Mus musculus: one gene and its partner. The main gene of each other region encodes a partner of the protein of the gene in region 2 in a complex. Links are inferred from orthologs where the notes say so. Each region holds a gene or a part of one and is shown on either strand. Other genes may lie near its edges.

Region 1 (3,636 bases), about 27 Mb from region 2:
AACCCTTTTTAAGTCTGGGCATTCTGGCGCACGCCTTTAATCCCAGCAATAGGGCAGCAGAGACAGGCAGATCTCTGTGAGTTTGAGGCCAGCCTGGGCTATATAGAGAGTTCCAGGACAGCCAGAGCTACACAGTGAGATCTTATTTTTTAAAAATAGCAAATAAATAAACACATGGTTTATTTTAAAATGATTTTAGACTTAGGGGCTTCTAGACAGTGTAGAATTCTGTGTTTCATAGTTTCTCCTGATATTCACATCTTATGAAACTATGGCACACATCAAAATTAAGAAACACAAATAAAATTAGTATAGACTCTATTCAGCTTTTGCCAATTTTAAGGCTTATTGTTTTCATTAGTTCATGTGTATGGTGTGTGTGGAGGAAAACACACACACACCAAGCTCTGTTCTCCTCTCCTCTTCTTCCTCCTCCTCTTCTTCTTCCTCTCTTCCCCTCTGTCTGTCTGTCTGTCTTCCCCCCATGCACCAAGTTCACACATATGTACAAAGCTCTCTCTCACACAATCACAAACATCAAGCTCTTCTCACTCTCATATACACACACATATCAAGCTCACATGTACACCATTCTCACTCCCCCCCTCACACACACACACACACACACACACACACACACACACACACACACACACAGAGGTCAGGGGACAACTCTGTGGCCCCAGTCCTCACCTTCCACCTTGGCATGGGTCACAGGAATAGAACTCATGCTGTCAAGCTAGCAAGGCAAGCACTTTTATCTGTTTGGCCATCTCACTGGCTCCCAAACTGTTTTTTTACTTCCTGTTTTTTGCCAGTTTCCTACTAAGATCCTTTTTCTGTTCCTGGAGCCAACCCAGGGAACCAGATCCTAACAGGGACTTTCCTTTTAGGAATCACAGGTCACTCTTTCCAGTGTCACTCCATGTCTTTCAGGCATGCAGGTCTTACAAGTGCTTCCTGTGACTTTTGAGTTGAGGTTGCTCACATTCCCTCGGGACATCTGACCCCATGGACGTGGGCAGAAGCAGGTCAAATGTCACTGTATTTGTCCCAGGTGGAATAGTGCGCTATGCAAAGAAGGACCTGGAACCAGCCTAGGTTCAAATTCTCTATGGCTTCCTGCTACTTAGTAACCATGGACAACTGGTTACATTCCCCAACTTCTCAGCTCCTTGTCTCTTAGTCTCAAGAATGGAGATGTAATAGTATTAAAGGGTTACTGAGAATCCATAAATGTGGTTCTTAAAAAAGACAGCGGCTATAAACTATGCCAAGCTCATTATGGTCACTCATGCAAGGTTACATGATGTCCCCGCCAAGCTTGCAAGTACTTTGGCTCAATGATAAAAGAATACAAATCCCATGAACTCAGCTCCAAGTTCCTTTCACAATGAAAAAAAAAATATGGAATTAGCAGGTTAAACTTTCCCCTTACTTAACAAAGAAAACACCTATGGGGCTCCCTACCTGACAACGTGTTCTTTAAATAAAAGGATCTTCTATAAAACATTAATCACACTGTGGAATCCAGAACAAGGCTCTCCTGGCAGCCATCTCCCCTGCTGTTATACATAAGGAACAGTCTTCCTACGGTCTTCCTACGCTGGCTGGAAGCCTGAAAACACCCAGTAGAGAAGGGAGCAGTGCAGGTTCAGCCTCCCGCCTCCTCTAACCCCGCAGCCCCTGCCCTCGGGACTGATGTGAAGAGGATTTCAGGGAGCAGCCGTGCGAAGGAAGGCAAGGGAGGAGGCTGGTCCTTGTGCACACCAGGGCAAACTAGAGCTTCGTAACTCTGGAACGCGTGATGTAGAAATGACCAGGGCTTCAACCCTTTCTATCTAGTAGCAATTCTGTGACAGAACTCACACACCATAAAAACGCAAACATCCACGTGTACACTTCAGAACTCACCTTGTTGACTACCTCAGTCCTCTAGATAGCTTAGGCTAAATATAGTTTTGCCTGGCTTAAGTTTCTAATTATCTCAGAGCTGTACCAACTGTTACAACATCACTTCACAGGAAACACCCCAACAGAGATCTACTAACCACAGTCATGTAGTGCAGCATTCGACCGTCCACCCGCCCTTCATCAAACTGGGTCTTGTACTGAGGGAGGCCAATATCATCCAGCCATCCTAAAGGAGAAAAGCCAGTGCCGTTATCAAGCTATGAACTTGCCTAACTGTCAAGGAGAAAATATGACAATGTTTATTCTTCTTCATGCATAAAGGCCTCTTACTAGTAACCCAGTTGAAGTCTAGCTTCCCATAGTTGGTTTCTTCTTCAGATCCCAGGGCCTGCAGGGCCAGCTGGAGCTTCTTACGATGCAGTGAATGCTTGATGCCAAGTTCCTGAAACAATAAACAGAGCCTTAGAATTTTGTCCATCAGGGTTGGATCCACCAGCAAAGAACCCTCCACCAGGAAGCTTCCCTTCAAGACCAGCCCTGCATTGAGTTAGAACACTACCTCAGGCTAATAACCCAGTCTATATTGAATTATAGTATGAACCTCAGGCCAGGACAGCATTGCTGAAGAAAAGGCCCAAGTCTACCACAATGGGCTCAGTGGGATGTTAGACACTGCCTAAATAAATTCATTTTATTTGTAAGAAAGAAACTGTTGAATGCATAATGGGATTTGACTTCTATTTTGTGTACAGTGTTTGAGAATTACAACATAAAATATATAAAGTATTCCTTTGTGAAGTTGAATTGCATATATTATATTAAAAAGATATGTCAATGTGTGTTTACAAAATGAGTGAGATGTATGAACTGTATCCATTTTATGAAGTCTATTCACTATAGCACCTATATAATTACATAAGCTAATGCTTTTCATTACGGGTTCCACTCAGCCGGCTCTGTTTCAGGATGATAAAGGATCAATACTACATCAAGACTCTGGCTGAGGGTAGGTGTTGCTGGGGATTGAACCTTGGGCTCTCACACGTCAGACAAGCGCACTACCCCTGAGCTGCATTTCCAGCTATACATGCGCACCCCCCTCTTCTTATTACGTACAGGAGAATGGGAACAGTTACCTTCTCCAGATCCTGCTGAGAAGCCTGCAAAAGGGTCTGGCCAGATATAATCCAGTGCTTGCCAGAACTCAGGTAGGACCCCAAGCCTTGCTCTGCCAGCCAGCTACACACCTGCTCCTTGGTCCATTTGGCAAATGGCATATCCAGGTCACTGTAGGAAATGAGAAACAGCCCAGTCTTGCAGCGTATAGTCAGTACTGAGCAACTGTGCATACAATCAATATGGAAATTCCCTGGCAACAAACATTTAACCAAGAAAAACCTAATTTTCAGTTCGAGATTGGAAAGTTACTTTCTAAAATCCCTGTTTTCAATTCAAAAGAAATTGTGGAAGAACCAACAGGAGTTACTGAGAACACTTTCTACAGAAAAACACCAAGATGAGCTATGTGCGGATCAGCTGCACTCAGAGCCGTTGTACAACTGCTCCACTAAAGACCCTACAGTCTTTAGTGGCCTCCCAGGAGATCTACTGCAGCCAGGGCAACAGATCAGCATCTTCTCTGCCTCTGTGAAGAGCCCCCAGTTGGAAGGCCCCACAGGTGGTCTGCTACAGCCAAGGCTGCTGGCCTACCAGGAGACCTAA
Region 2 (3,636 bases):
TAAAAAATAAGAACAAAACTCACGAAGTGAATCAAGTTATAGGCTATGATGTTTCTAATAGTGGTTCTGATTAGATTTCCTCCTTTTCTGTCACCTTCCTTACTGTTAGCAGTGTTTCTCCAAATGTAACTGGGCTTCAGCCATTCTAGGATCTGCATATAGATTGGGATCCCATAAGAAACCCACTCTTGGGCTGCAGAGATGGCTCAGAGGTTAAGAGCACTGACTACTCTTCCAGAGGTCCTGAGTTCAAATCCCAGCAACCACATGGTGGTTTACAACCCTCTGTAATGGGATCTGATGCTCTCTTTTGGTGTGTCTGAAGACAGTTGCAATGTACTCATATACATAAAATAAATAAATAATACTAATTTAAAAAAAACTAAAAAGGAAGAAGAAGAAGAAAGAAACCAACTCTTAGAACGGAGAACAAGGCAGTAAAAGAGTATGAAATAAATGAGCCAATCTTCTGTAGCCCTCACAGCTTCCTGAGTCCCTGGAACACCTGCCACAGGACACTAAGAAAATCTTTCCTCCGTGCTGCACTGTGCAGCCAGCAACAGATATAAACATGCAACGACTAATTTGGTGAGCCTCACCTCCTTTTCTGAGAGGTCTCCTTGTAGCAGGCTGACTTTCTCTCTCAGGTCTTTGAGGTCTTTTTTGTAGGTATCAATCTCCTCCTGCTTCTCCCGCTCATCCCTGTCCCGCTGCTCCTTTAAGCGTTCAATTGTCCGTTCCTAAAAGAAAGCACACCAAGACATGAGGATGCTCCCATCTGTACTTACATCGTGAACATGCTCTGATTCCTCTGACAAACTCAACACTACTATCATCTATCAAAAAGACAATGGTAAGCCCTTCAAGGATTCAGTTCTCAAAGAACTCATTTTTCCTACTGCAACCAGTAATTTCCAACTTTGCTTATTTTTAAATACCAAGAGTCAGTTTCTAATCATTTGAAATATCATTAGATAGCACTAACACATTCTCTTGAAACATTTTCATTAAAATTCAATTTCCAAATAACTAGAAACTTATGTGTATGTCCCTAGGACAATAAAATAACACATATTTCTTCACTATAATAATAGTGACACAGACTACCTATAAAACAATAGGAATTACTCATAACCCATATATCAAAAGTAGGGGGAGCTAGGATAAACTGATCTTAGATAAGAGGATAGAGAAGTGATAGAAAATTTTAAACTTCTACTCAGGAAGCGTGAAGGCTAAAGCAATTTAAGTATAGTTCTGGGTAATGTTTCTAAACATACTCAGAGAACATGCATTCATCCTAGCAAGCAGATCAAAGCATTCTGAGTCCAAAAGACCTAACAAATGTTGCCTTATGCCTCTAAAAAAAATCCAATTAAATATCTCAAAGAAAGTACAGCATCATGAGATAACCTTTTAATGCCAACACTTGGGACTTGGAGGTGGGAGAATCAAGAGTTAAAGGCCACCCTGTGTGTAATGGCTAGTGTTGGCTGCCAACTTGACTACATCTGGAATTAACTAAAACCCAAATGGCTGGGCACATCTAGCTCTCTTTTCCTACTTGTTCTCACTCTCACTAGCAAGTCCATTTCTTCTTCAGGATTCTGGCATATACTGAAGACCACCTGAAACATTCAGCATTGTGGACTGAAAACCACCAGATTCTTGGACCTTCCACTGGTAGACCCTCATTGTTGAACCACAGCCTGTACGCCACTCTAATAAAACCTCATTATATAGATGGATGATATATAGATATATAGATATAGACAGACAGATGGATGATAGATTTATTCATCACTTGTTCCTCTACAGAACCTGACTAAGACACGGAGCTACATAGCGAGCCTGAGGCTAGCCTAAGCCACATGAGACCTCATCACAAAACAATACCCCCTCCAAAATGAACAATAAGAAACAAAAAAAAAAAACACCATAAAGAGATTCTCTAAAATACATTCTCACCACTTTTTCATTCCTTAAAATGTCAAGTATGCTCATAAAGATAAAACAATGTAATATGAGCCAAAGTGCTAGAGAGATGGGTCAGTGGTTAAGGGCACTGACCACTCTTCCAGAGGACTCAGGTTCAGTTCCCAGCATCCACCTGGCAGCTCACAACTGTCTCCAACTCCAGTACCAGGGGATCCAATGCCCTCTCTGGCCTTTGGGGCACAAGGTACACATGTGATGGTCAGACACAAATACAAGCAAAATTTAAAAATTATTTTAGGAGTAAGCCAATGCTAGAAAATGAGTACATATGTAACATTCATGAATAAAATTTATGAATATGTCATATGGTGGGAAGGCAACAGAGCAGAGCTAGTCTGGTATAACACCCTGATGATCAATGTCGAATCTCCTGCACATCTAGCTAATCAAATAATGAATTTTTGTTTCCTTTAGAAAGCAGAAAAATAGGACACACGTGCTGAATCTTGAGGAAATGTGGCTATGGTCTTTTGGTGTACAACCAATCTTGCCCAGAAGTTGGTGCTAAGATCTAAGAGTAACTAGACTGTCTTTCCACTTTATACTATGCACAGCAGCATGGAAGCTCCTATGAAAGGATTGCCTCTGTAGTTATAGCCAATTCTAGGATAATGAGAAAACAGAACACAAGGTCTGGGAAGAGTCAGGCCAGTCACTTACTTTATCTGCAAGAGCCTCCTCCAAAGTTGTCAGAGCTGTGTCTGTGTTAGTGGTGTCCGCCTGCAGAGACTTGACTCGCTCTTTCAAGCTGCTCATCTGCTTTTCTTTATCTCTTAGTTGTTCCTGAAGATTTTCTATCTAAATATACATATACATTTAAGGGAGAAAAAAAAAACATTAAAAAGGGTACAAATAGGCACAATAAAAATTATTTAAGACATAAACAAATTATGATGTGGGTATGTATATGTGTTCTCTGTAGAAATAATTTAAACTTAATTGTTTCAAAATTATATGCTGAACCCTACAGCAGCCAAAATTTTGTACCACCACAAAGAAAAAACAAACATCCAATGAACAGATAGGCAAATCCCTAGGTAAGTTTTGAGGCACAAAGTTTCAATGTTAAGTCAGAATGCTGAGAGGGACTGCAATGGATCCATAAGAAACACAATCACTTCTAAGATGCCATTGTGTACAGCAAACTGAAGGACAAAGAATCACACAGAAAACCAAATTACTTGTATAAAGAAAAAACTGTCTTTGTATGTTAGTGTTTACAACTGTTTTATACACTTACACAACAAGTATTAATACAACGAGTATTTTCAGTGAAACTTCTTGCTGTGTTCATTCATTTCTTCTCACACACTTAAATGCATTCATTTTCTCAAAAGAATTATGTATTTCTCCTACCCAAGAACTAACCTGACTCTGACACATTCAGAGTCCTATGTCAGTAGACAATTACTAATTTCCTTACAATATGCCAGGCACTGAGAATACTAAGAAAAATGAAGAGGCCACTTCTACTATATGACATGAGAAGAGAGAAAGAGTGGCCCATTATGAAACTGAACGTGAGTAAAGATGAGCTTACTGGCCTACTGAGGAACAGACTCTGAATTTCAGAGAGATTTGAATACATAGAGGTTTCAATCCTAGAAATGAGCTGACAACTTTAAATAATTTTCATGG

The links. Proteins that work in one complex are often made in the same cells at the same time.
Region 1: Erc1 (region 2) and Ppfibp1 share a complex: the UniProt entries of both Homo sapiens proteins name them as parts of the cortical microtubule stabilization complex. The link is inferred for Mus musculus from reciprocal best matches to the Homo sapiens genes ERC1 and PPFIBP1.

The regions. Positions count from the first base shown.
Region 1 is NC_000072.6:147,020,866-147,024,501, reverse strand, and holds part of Ppfibp1 (liprin-beta-1), read right to left. Parts: intron 3,202-3,636; coding exon 3,051-3,201; intron 2,357-3,050; coding exon 2,245-2,356; intron 2,141-2,244; coding exon 2,052-2,140; intron 1-2,051. UniProt on the Homo sapiens protein: May regulate the disassembly of focal adhesions. Did not bind receptor-like tyrosine phosphatases type 2A.
Region 2 is NC_000072.6:119,750,601-119,754,236, forward strand, and holds part of Erc1 (ELKS/Rab6-interacting/CAST family member 1), read right to left. Parts: intron 2,797-3,636; coding exon 2,659-2,796; intron 741-2,658; coding exon 600-740; intron 1-599. UniProt on the Homo sapiens protein: Regulatory subunit of the IKK complex. Probably recruits IkappaBalpha/NFKBIA to the complex. May be involved in the organization of the cytomatrix at the nerve terminals active zone (CAZ) which regulates neurotransmitter release.